Linked DNA regions of Canis lupus familiaris. The protein of the gene in region 1 purifies or fractionates together with the protein of each later gene. This does not show direct contact. Links are inferred from orthologs where the notes say so. Each region holds a gene or a part of one and is shown on either strand. Other genes may lie near its edges.

The links.
Region 2: the proteins of TXNIP (region 1) and NLRP3 purify together in Homo sapiens (affinity purification with western blotting, with the first as the bait; 4 studies listed by BioGRID). This does not show direct contact. The link is inferred for Canis lupus familiaris from reciprocal best matches to the Homo sapiens genes TXNIP and NLRP3.
Region 3: the proteins of TXNIP (region 1) and WWP2 purify together in Homo sapiens (affinity purification with mass spectrometry; 3 studies listed by BioGRID and IntAct, with this or other methods). This does not show direct contact. The link is inferred for Canis lupus familiaris from reciprocal best matches to the Homo sapiens genes TXNIP and WWP2.

Annotation. Positions count from the first base shown.
Region 1 is NC_049238.1:59,433,963-59,438,333, forward strand, and holds the start of TXNIP (thioredoxin-interacting protein), read right to left. Parts: upstream 2,845-4,371; 5' UTR 2,556-2,844; coding exon 2,306-2,555; intron 1,795-2,305; coding exon 1,722-1,794; intron 1,612-1,721; coding exon 1,464-1,611; intron 1,245-1,463; coding exon 1,142-1,244; intron 1,009-1,141; coding exon 752-1,008; intron 660-751; coding exon 503-659; intron 395-502; coding exon 243-394; intron 102-242; coding exon 66-101; 3' UTR 1-65. UniProt on the Homo sapiens protein: May act as an oxidative stress mediator by inhibiting thioredoxin activity or by limiting its bioavailability.
Region 2 is NC_049229.1:335,638-339,836, forward strand, and holds the start of NLRP3 (NACHT, LRR and PYD domains-containing protein 3), read left to right. Parts: upstream 1-1,388; 5' UTR 1,389-1,473; intron 1,474-2,999; 5' UTR 3,000-3,229; intron 3,230-3,381; 5' UTR 3,382-3,433; coding exon 3,434-3,710; intron 3,711-4,199. UniProt on the Homo sapiens protein: Sensor component of the NLRP3 inflammasome, which mediates inflammasome activation in response to defects in membrane integrity, leading to secretion of inflammatory cytokines IL1B and IL18 and pyroptosis.
Region 3 is NC_049226.1:80,389,090-80,392,232, forward strand, and holds part of WWP2 (NEDD4-like E3 ubiquitin-protein ligase WWP2), read right to left. Parts: intron 2,961-3,143; coding exon 2,827-2,960; intron 2,506-2,826; coding exon 2,365-2,505; intron 1,746-2,364; coding exon 1,625-1,745; intron 1,279-1,624; coding exon 1,174-1,278; intron 263-1,173; coding exon 166-262; intron 7-165; coding exon 1-6. UniProt on the Homo sapiens protein: E3 ubiquitin-protein ligase which accepts ubiquitin from an E2 ubiquitin-conjugating enzyme in the form of a thioester and then directly transfers the ubiquitin to targeted substrates.

The DNA.
Region 1 (4,371 bases):
AAGAGTCCAGGAAGAGAGGCAGAAAGAAACATGTTAAGTACAGCTGCTTCTTTTCTTCCACAAGTTCACTGCACATTGTTGTTGAGGATGGAGGGATCCACCTGGAGTGGGGGGAAGAGAAACAAAAGAAACGATTATTTTAGTTTGGGTAAGAACTAAAACAACCACCCAGTTTAGCAGTCCTTCCCATTCAACTTCCTGTAAGAGGCTTAGAGGACAATTTGTAAAATGGCAATGATCACCTCTGTGTAAGTCGGTGGTGGCATGAACTTGAACTCAGGAGCATACATAAAAATAGGGCTGTCTTGGGAACCATCTGTGTCATCTAGTAGAGGAGTAGTGGGGCTCTCCAATCGGTGATCTTCAGGAATGATATCCATATAGCAAGGAGGAGCTAGAGAAAACATAGGCATAAGAAGTTTGGCCAAGAAATGCCTGACCGTCACAATTTCACAAACCCAAGCAGGTCAAAAAGGAAGAAAAAACATTAGGTCTGGCTCACCTTCTGGGGTATCGGGAATATTGAGATCTATCCAACTCATTTCAGAGCTGGTTCGACTGGCCATGCTCGATGTCCGACTGCTCAGACCTGATCTGCTACCGATTACCAGGGGCAGATCAAGGATGACCTTCTTGGAGCCAGGAACACTAACATAGATCTAGAAAGGAAAAATGACAGTTAGTTAGACTAGAGGTTTGGAGAAATGACTATTTTGACAGATGAACAATTTCTTGGACTCCATTCACTCACCAATAAGGAGTATTCAACTCGAAGGATGTTGCAGCCCAGGATAGAAGGCCTGATCTTTTGCACCCGAAGGCTCTTGCCACGCCACGATGCACAGGTTCCTGAAATGATGTGATTGCCTCTGACAGATGACAACTTCTGTGTCAGCACTTTGGTTTGACCATTGGCAAGGTAAGTGTGGCGTGCTACTATGGCAGCTTTGGGAACCATGATGCGCGAACATGTATTTTCAAAGTCAGCATGGATGGAAATTTCATCACCTAACAATGATAAAGACAAAAACTTATTAGCTGACGCTTAATACAATTAAGGACTTCTACCCCTATAGCCTGCCCTCACTCCCAAACCCACAGTTCCTGTTTTATCAGACTACCTTTTTAATTAAGTTTTTACCTTCACAAAATCCTTTTCTGTCAATTCGGGCAGAGACAGACACTTGTCCATCAGGAATAAACATGCAGGAAACTTTCTTCTCCTTTTTAGCAGACACAGGAGCCTGTGTTAAATAGGGGTAAAAAGACATTTTGAGACTTTCTAGAGATCCTTCTCTTTTTTCTTTCTACTCCTTACCTAGAATAGGCAACTTTCCCTCCCACCTTGGTAATCCATTTAGGACTGGATCCCCTGAGGTACATCAGTCTAATGCCTAAGACACTTGACTTACGACTTACCATCCCCGAAACCCAAGAAAACATAATTTTTAAATGAACCTCACCATTAAATCAGGAGTGTTGACATCCACTAAATCCATCACTTCAAAGAATTTCTTTGTCTCTTGAGTTGGCTGGCTGGGGCGATCAAGAAAAGCCTTCACCCAGTAGTCTACACACCCATATTTTCCTTTGAAAGATGTTCCCAAAGGCCTGTGTCAAGAAAAAAGAAGCAATCTAAAACTGTTCTCCAAGAACAGGTGATCAAAGGTGGCGAATTTTAGAGATAAGAAAGTCCAAAGATGCATTTAGTAGACACCTACCCCTGAGGAAGCTCAAAGCCGAACTTGTACTCGTATTTGTTTCCAGGTCTCATGATCACCATCTCATTCTCACCTGAGAAGAAAGAAGAAAGAATAGCCCATCAGGTTTCTTGTTTCACTTCAAATGCATCTGTGTGATAAGGAATTCCTGGGCAGCATGCAAGTCTATTGCAGGTCCCCTATTTTCACCCCCTTCTGTTCTTGAGAGATCCTGATGCATTTCGTTGGGCAAAAAGTTTCAAAGCCTTGCAATGATGAAAGGCTCAACCAGGGCAGTGAAGCTACTACCCTCTCAAACCGGAAACGAGCGAAGAATATGCAACTTATGCACACAGAAAACCTTTAAATAGTTAAGGCAGCATACCTCAGGATCACCTTCAGAACAGAACACTGTAAGAAACTGTACAAATCACCCCCCCCCTTTTTTTAGGAGTCTGCAAGTTAAAACTAAAAAAGGAAACAACATACAAGTCAAGCTACTCAACCTTAGCAGCTTGAAATATTCAGCATAAGCTGCAAGCATTCGTTTCAACTCTATTCTCAAATCAGCTTTCACCCTCCCGACAAACAACGGGGCCACTCACCTGTTGGCTGGTCTTCCAGGAGAAGCGTGTCTTCGAAGCGCAGGTATTCAGAGGTCTGTTTGCACTGTTGGGATCCCTGCATCCACAGGACTTTGGCCACTCCGCAAGCCAGGATCCTGACAGCTTTAACTCGAGTCACTTCGCACACCTCCACGACCACCCGGCCGGCCACTTTCTCCCCGCTGCCATACACCTTTTCAGGGTCGTTAAAGACCACCTCAAAAGACTTGATTTTCTTGAACATCACCATGATTGGCTGGGCTGCCTTGACAGTTATAAACGGGGGGGAGAGAAAAAACAAAACTCCAAATCCAAAAATGCTCTGCAAAAAAATTATTTCACTCTTCAACTCTCCGCTAAGATTTCAAAAAGATTTTGGAAAAAAATGTAAGCTGTGGGTGATGCCGAAGGATCCCCGGGGGAAAAAAAAAAAAAATCAGCTTTCTGTTCTTTTCTCCGACAGCTGGAGGAGCGCCCCGACTCTAGGAGAGCCCGAACGGCCCACCCCGCCAGAGGAGACGGAAGGAGAGTTGCGGGGAGCAGCCGGAAACTGCTTTATATAGTCGCCCGGGCTCGCCCGGCCACGCGAGCGCTAGCCCTGAGGCTCGTGCTGCCCTCGTGCACAGCCCTCCCATTGGCTGCCCGCCCCTTGTTTACCAGGAGCCCAACCAATCAGCGAGGCCGCAGCGGCGCGTGGACACGGTGTGCTCCTGGCGGGGAAAATGGTTGTTGTGCACGGCAGCCTCGCCGGGAGGAGGGAGCGGAGGGGCTGCGGGGCCGCCTCCCTCCGCCCGAGGACGCCCAGGGGAAGCCCGGAGGGAGCGGGCCCTCGCGGACCCTAGCATTTATCACGGGGGGTGGCCGTCGGGGGGCGGGTGCAGATGCTTCTGGGGTGGGAGCAGCGTTTGAAGCGAAAAGAAAATGTGCTTATGTGGGAATTTCGTGCCTAACCTCAGCCAGTGCAATAAATTTAGAGGCGACCGTTTATTTCCGGCTCACAAGTCGCAAGTCCGGTGAAAAATAATCCCTTAACTCCAAGAATACTTCAGAATTGGGGCAGAGGCCAGGGAGCTTTGGTGTGACTGTTGAGGAAGAGCCCCTTTGTCTTTCTCTTGCCCCCGGGTCTCTATCCAAACCCCTAAATACCGTGACAGAAAGGGGAACTTGTCACAAATTGTAAAGCTCTTCTCCGTCGTGGGTGGGCAGCGGTCCGGGGCGCTGCTCGGCTTTCGCGCTCCCTTTCCGGCGCCCCCGAACCTGGAAGCCCCTGTACCCTCTCTCTCCGTTCGCTCTGTTCTCCCTGGAACGGAATCAGGGCGTGTTCACATCCTGTTCCTTTCCCCCTCATCTCTTCAGTTTCTACCTGCAAAGTTGGGGGAACACTTTGTTTCTATTCCCCCAGTTACCAATATATTACTCTTTTAGTAAGGTATGTACTTGAAACAAGATGCTTCCCTCGTTTCACTTTCCTCCTCAGCTGCTTGCACTCTTCCTTGTCTTCATCCCCTCTGCAACTCACCAAATCAGAGGCGCATCTCTAAATCCGTAGCCCACACTCCTCACAGCCGAGTTAAAAGTTCTCTTGTTTATATGATCAAAGTGTCAGTAAAGAGATGGCTGCATTCCTGTTTGAAGGAAGAGTTTCCGTATCTTTTAAAAGTGTTTTTCTAAGCCCTTTATTTTAGAAATCCCAGTGAGGAAAGAAGACAAAAGGATCACTGTATTCAAGCTAAAAGAGACCCTGACTGATCACTCTTTATTGTCATTTGTCAGATTCCCCCCTCCCCCCAACCTGGCATGAGATGCCTTAAGGACCTGACTCCTGAGAAATTACTCATAAATGCAAAAACAAACAAACTTGCAGAGATAAAGGCACACATGGACGCACCCTTTTTTTTTTATTTTTATTTTTATTTTTTTTTGATTCTTGGGCCTCTCCTGTCTGTGTTGAAGTATCAGGAGATTTTTACCTCATTTTTTTTTTGTCCTGGCAAGAGGAAGACAGTGTTTCCAAGATTGAGATGGGGAAGTAAATAAGACGTATGTGGGTGTACAGAACTCTTATT
Region 2 (4,199 bases), on another chromosome or scaffold:
CTTCCATCAGGGCCTCTGCACACCGTCCAGTAACAGTGCAGGTGTCGGGATCTAACCACTGACACCAGCGTCTCTGACTCAGGTCCCGGCCATCAGTTCATTTGTTCAGTCCTTGCAAGAACCTTCTGCAATGGATGCTATCTGCACAGAGAAACGGACCCGCTTCCAGTGCTGCCCCCTGGTCGTGGACTCTCATCCCTCCTGCTCTAGGCCCCATGCTGGCCCGAAGAGCTGACCTCCTCTCCCTCACCACGCTTGCTCTATGTACACGGGCCATCATCACACTGTGGTCCTGCAGCCGCCACACGTGCCTGGAAACACGGTCCGGGTGCTGCTTGGTCCTCTGGCTCCTCTGGGGCAAAGCAAGGCATCCCTCCAGGCTGGCATTCTTGCCTGGCACCCACTGGGCGCTCCGTAAGTGCTCACAGACTAAGTGAGTCCATGAGTCTAGGAGCAGGGTTTGTGTCTGCCCCAAGGAATTGAACTTAGGATCTCGGAGAGATGTCCACACTCCCATGTCCGCTGTGGTATTATTCAAAAAGGTCAGATACGGAGACAAGCTAAGTGTCCACAAGTGGAAGAAAGGGTGAAGACGGTAGGTACACATGTCTACACCACATGCCATGGGGATTATTCGGCCACGGGGAAAAAGGACATGCTGCCATTTGCAACAACGTGGGTGGAGCTGGAGGACGTGAAGTGTGTAATATCACTGTACGTAGACTCCAAGTTCGTCGGAGTCACAGAGACAGAGAGTGCAGGGTCAGGGGCCCGGGGCTGGGAGGGGGCAGTGGGAGGTATCGGTTGGGGGCACGCAGGCTGTGACGCCAGAGGACTAAGTCCTGGAGATGGGCATATGGCGCTGTGCCCACAGCTGGTCATTCTCTGCTGTGCTTGGAATACTTGCCAAAGGGCAGGTCTTGTATTAAGGGTTCTCACCATACACACAGAACAGCATTAAAACAGCAACAATAATAAAGGGGCGGGAGGAGACTTTGGGAGGTGATGAGCATGGCCTCGGCAGAGGTGAGGTTCTCACAGGCGTATCCTCAATTCAGAAAAGCAGTTGAGGACGTTGACAGGTGGTGCACAGAGCCTTTGCCGGCCAGCAGACTGTGCCTGATGGCTGGAGGGCCAGGCATGCTCCTGATGCTCTACTTGCCAGGCCCGGGGGGTCCCCTGCCCCACTGTGCTCACTACCTTCACAGCCCTCTCATGGCCGCTGGGACGCCCACGGGGACACCCCGCCTCAGGGGCCCCCGAGAGCACGGCAGACGTCTCTGGCTATGGCCGAGATAAGCACGCTGCTCACTGGTGTGGAAAATCCACAATATGAGTAACTGTTAGTCTCCAACCTGGTGATGCAAGCTTGTTCACTCCATGCTGAGGCCACATCCTTCCTGCCCTGCTGGGCTGTGACCACTATAAATTCATCAAGTTTCCTCTTGGGCTGTTTCTGAGGCTGGTGTCCGGGTGAGTCCAACTCTGTGGAGCTGCATGGCTGCAAGAGTGTGGGGAGAATGAGGAGGGGCCATGGAGAGCCGGGGGTGTCCTGTTTAGCACACTAGGGATTCTCCGGCCAGCTTCCAAGCCTGCCCTTCCACAATTCTGGAAAACCCTTTTTTGTTTTTCATTACTGGGTCCTAGGCTTGTGTGCAAGTGTGTGCGTAGGGACTGGGGAGTGGGGGGGGGGGCAGGTAGGGACAGCCACCACAGCTCACACCCACCCTTGGGGCGGATTTGCCCAGCATCCCCCCAGGGAGTGGATGGAGGGGATGTGGTGGGGATGTGGACGTCCTAGACACCGCAGGACACAGAAGGCAAAGGTCAGGGTAGAACGCATGGGGCTTAGAGGCTGGGGGGCACAGAGGAGCCGTAGAGTCCTGATGTGGATGGCAAGGCCGACCGGGGTCCTGGGATGGTCCACAAAACAGGTGGGTCTACCTGGACATGCCCAGCCCACCGCCAAACGCATGAGGAACGGATTTGGTGGGTGCGTGGAGCCAGGAGTGCAGGGCAAGATGAAGGCACAGGGGAGGCAAGCATGCTTCAGGCATTGTGCACACACACTCTCTCCTGCAGTCCCACCCTTCCTCTCCCTCCTGTTAGCGACCCTCATTCATGGCCTTGGGTTGATGTTGTGCTTTCCCAAACTCAGTCATGTGGCGGGATGGATCCCAAACAAAGCCAACATGCTTATCAGCCCAAATCTTGGAGACGCAGAAGAGCAAGGACACAGCAGCTGAACTTTGCTCTATGTGGAACTCTGCATCCCTGTAGAAAAGCTGAGACCCTGAGCTCTAAAAAATGGTGGGCTGTGCGTGGAAAATGCTGGGAAAGTGGTTTGTTTTTGTTTTTTGCCTTTTAACCACCTATTTTATTGTCTTTGTTCTTTTCTATGTTTTTCTGAGATACCTCGTTAAGTGATGGAAGAAAGAATCACATGCTTTTTCTTGCTATGAAAATTAGTATTTAGGGACATGAACTCAGAAATCAGTGCCCCTGACCTAAATCCTGGCTTTGAACCCTTTTTTTTTTCTGCGAAACCCTGGGCAAGTCACTTAGTTTCTGCTAAGATTCAGTTCCTCTTCTGTAAAATGGGCCTAAGCATATGTGCACCTCCTAGGGCTTCGGGAGAGTTAGATGCACAGCACATGAGTGCGGCACCTAGGCTGCGAGAGGCTCTCAGTCCCCGTGGGCTCTAATGATGATCACAATTGTGAATGTTGAAGGACACCTCAGGGAGATGTATGTGGTCATCACCTCCCCCTACGCACCTCGAGCGTCACCCACTCATCGCTATCGATCAATAGATGGATGGATGTGCAATTGGAGACCTCCCCTGTCCAGGCGCGTCTGTCTTCTTCCTCCGTCCAGCCATGTGCTGCTCTGTTACTACCGTACTTACTCATTTCCGGGGTCAAAACAGAAATAGGGAACCAGAGCCTTTCCAATGGAAGGAACTTAAAAGCCATATTTTCCATTCTGTCATTTTATAGATGAAGAAACAGAAGCTGAGGAAGACTTTGCCCCAGGCCATTCCTCAGTAACTAGTGAGAACAAAGTTCTCCCTGTGGTGCACTGTGGTGGCTTAAGGCTGCAGGTTGGGCTCACAGTATTATCGACATGGTTCCCTGTGCGGGTTTAACCTCTGTTTCTCTCCAGAGGGACACTGTTCTTCCATGGCTCAGGACAGACTCCTGAGTTGAGCCAACAGGAAAACGTTCTGGTGAGTATTTGGGTCATTTTTCAAAACCTCATTATGGTTCAATTCTCTATTTTTTCTCCTTATGTTCTGGGTTTTTCGTGGGTTCATTCTCTTTCAAGAGGGCAGACTTTTAGGAAGATTCTGCTTACCCATGTGCTGTTTTCATCATCCAGCTTCCTGGAGTGGACCTATGCCCAAGGGCCCTGAGCCAAGCTGCAGAGGAGCATGGCAAGCGTCCGCTGCAAGCTGGCTCGTTACCTGGAGGACCTGGAAGATGCAGACTTTAAGAAATTCAAGATGCACTTACAAGACTACCCTTCTCAGAAAGGGTTCAGCCCTCTCCCTCGGAGTCAGACAGAGAAAGCTGACCACATGGATCTGGCTACTCTGATGATCGACTTCAATGGTGAGGAGAAGGCATGGGCCATGGCAGTGTGGATTTTTGCTGCAATCAACAGAAGAGACCTTTATGAGAAAGCTAAGAGGGATGAGCTGGAGTGGGGTGAGTGGAAGATAGACAGCATTTTAAAAAATCGTGATAAGATACACGTGACATACAATTACCGTCTTAGCCATTTCAAAGCTATGGTTCAGCAGCATTAAACACATTCACATTGCGCAATCAATCTCCACAACTTTTCTTTGTCTTGCAAAACTCTGTACCCATTAGACAACAATTCCTGTCCCCCTCCCCTAAGCACCTGGAACTACCACCTTCTATCCTTAAGAATTTGGCTACTCTTAGTACGGCTTATGAACAGCTTCATAAAGTATTTGTCTGTTTGTGGCTAGCTTACTTTATGAAGCATAATGTCCTCAAGCCTCATCCATGTGGTCACATACAACATTATTTCATTCTTTTTCAAGGTGGGATAATATTCCAGGGTATGTGTATGCCAAATTTTGTTCATCTATTCACCCATTAGTGGACATTTGGATTGCTGTTAGCTTTTGATTATTTTGAACAATGCTGCTAAGAACACGAGGGTAC
Region 3 (3,143 bases), on another chromosome or scaffold:
TGCTCCCTGTATCCGAAGAGAAGCTCTTCATATACAAAGGACGGCCCCTTCGTAGGGCAGGGCCCCGGCTCCACCCACAGGAGCCTCAGGCCTCACCCACTGACTCACCCGAGCCACTGCCCTCAGGCCCACCCTAGGGCGCCAGCAAGGCAAGGGAAGACCTACCAATGAGCTCAGCAAAGCCGCCAACGGGCAGGCGGCAAGTCCCAGTGACGAACTGCAGCAGCCGGATCCTCTTCTCGTTGTCCATCTCCTTTACCACCTAGAACTCCGCCAGTCAGAGCAGAGCCAGGCTACCCACTTGACCCCAAACCTCGCCCTAACCTGTGACTCCCATCAGCCAGGACCCCTCTTTGGGGCTGAGAACACAAAGCCCGGGTTGGGGTCGGGGGCTACAGCCACCAGCCTTGGAAACCCCAAAGCTGCTCCATCTGAGAGGCTGAGTTTGTAGGACATTCCCACCAACCCATGGGACATCTCTGGGGCTCCGGGGCACCCCGAGCCAGGTATTCTTTTCCCAGCCAAGTTCTGCTTTTAAACATATAGTAAGGATGGAAGTGATTGCTTAATGGGTATGGAGTTTCTTTTGGCGGGGAGATGTAATGTTCTGGAATTAGATGGTGGTAATGAAAGACCAATGTGAAAGACCAATGAACCGTAATACCTTAAAATGCTTCACATTGTGAATCTTATGGGATGGGAATTTTGCCTTCAAAAAGAGATTTTTATATACCTTCTCTTTCTCACGTATGCTATACTTCATAAGGGAAACGACAAGATCTCACATTTGGAAGAATCAATTCATTATATCCAGGACTCCGAGCTCATTCAGTTTCTCTGGAGACCAGCACGTGCTGTCCTGTCCCTCCACCCCCAGGCTGGCAGGAAACCACACGGCCTGGTGCTTTCCTTCCCGCACACATCGGCTGACCACTAACACGTCCCGTCAGGTGCACTGGCCACAACCCAGCTGCAACAGCTCTGTTCACCCCAAGGCTGGGTTCCTCTTCTCCTCCCACCAATGGAGGAAAGTGCCAAAGATGAGGGAGGTGACCCCCCAACATGTGTCCAGGAGCCTGGGATCTAATCAGGCCTCTTTCCTGTGGCTGACCACTAAAATATCCCTTCCAAGACCCTTAGCCCAACTCGGCCGGGACGGGTCCCAGGACCTACCTGCCAGAACCACTGGATCTGCTTGCTGTTCTTGGTGTAGTGCCGATAAATAGTGTTCTTTTGCCAGTCGCTCATGTCTATCTCCTGCATGCCGCACAGCATCAGCTGCAGGGGGACAGGTGTCAGCAGCCCCAGGCCCACCCCCTCCCCACAGGTGCACAGCGCCTCACCCACTCACCAGCAGGTGGAATCGCCCCAAACATTTTCATCTATTTCTGCTGGCAGTGGGAGTAATATGGGTGATAGGAGTCTTGAGCATGGACCCCCTCAAAACCAGGACCAGGGGAGGAACAGATTTGAGAGATCAAATCACAACTATCCGCCCTGCCGCCTCCATCCAGAGGGAAGGTGAAGTTTTACTGGCGGGTTTCTGCAGAACCACGGTTTGCCAGCAACGGGCACGACTGCCCCAGAGGCAGAGGCTCAGGGTCCCGGGGACCTCAGCTCTCACCTCCAGCTCTTTCTCATCAAAGTAGCGCAACCACTCCAGGGGGGCCACCTCGTTGAAGCCGTCCAGGAAGGCTTTGGTCTGCTCTTCCACGCCCCGGGTGAAACGCCAGTCGGTCAGCAGCCTAAAACCGAAGGTGCGCTGTCAGGGGAGCCAAGGCCCACTGCTCAGGCACAGCTCGGGCCGGCCACCGGGCCACGGTCACACAGCCGTGAGATATCAGCCCAGAGGCCGCGTGGCACACACCCAGACCCACTCCGCATCGGCCTTGGGAGCAGCCAGGGCAGTGGGAGACAGCTGAACCTCTGACATCCCACCGCTTCCTCCCCATCCCACCACTGCTGACTGAACTTCACAAACGTGGAGGTCAGGAGACTAGACCGAGAGACCTGGAGAAGGCACGTGGGTGAGTTTGCACACAGACACACATGCAAGGATGGGCTCAGACACACGGACACAGAAATCCTCTCTGCCAGAGAAAGGAAAGGGAGATATCGAAGCTTCCTGCCTCTTCAAAGCCCTGCAGTCTTGAAGCCTTGCACGTGGGGGAAAGAGAGCAAACGGCAGCTCTTCCGGGTGGCCAGGGGCTCCGGTCAGCGTGGGACAGGCCGTGGGCAGCCCTCATGTGCCGATGCCACAGGGGCGGCGGCCGTGCCCCTGGTGAAATAGGGGGGGCCTGGCTGGAGCACGCCCCAGGACCGAGGGTGGCTCTGCTCCCGCCCCCTGGCCCCCGGGATACTCACATGATGTACTCTTCCTTGTTCTCCTCTGTCACTCGGATGCTTTCCCCGCCTTCCTTTAGCTCGTGGGTTGTCACCTTGCCCAGGATCTCCATGTCCTGGATGAAGTAGAGCTCCAGACCACACTCTTCCAGGTTGTTCTCTCTGGGGGCACAAGAGACCGAAAGGGAAAACGTCTACCTTAGAAGGGTCTCCCCTCATCCCACTCTGTCAGGTGCATCAGCGCTCAGAGGATGCCAGGACCCGCAGCCTGAATCCAGACAGTGGCCTGGGACCTCCCCCTGACCACGGGGAGAATTCTGGAGCTGTCCCACAGGGAAACCGAGGAGCTGCGTATCTCCACCAGCACTTACACAGCTGGTATGCGCTCAGGGCCACTCCAGCAGAGAAAACACAGGCCAGCGATGCCTCCTCCCCAACCAGAGACCCCTGTCCTCCCAGCACGGCGCGGGGGAGAGGACTCACTTGATCCAGACAATAGAGTTGTAGAATTCGGGGTCGATCGATTCCAGGTCTTTCAGGGTTGGTCTCTTGTTGAGCATTCGCTTATAGAACGGGAGGGTGAAGCCTGTGTCGATGAACTTTCCATGGTACAGAGCCTGCGGAGGAAGAGGCACGCCAAAGGTGTTTGGTCTTCTTAGGACACTGCCCAGGCAGGCTCTTGGATGCTCCACGCCAAAGCCCAACTACCTACCCCTTCTCCCCAAGAGCAACCGTGACCTTGGGACAGACTCTCATCACACCTGCAGACAACAGGGGCAAGCAGAGCCAGCCCACTTAGG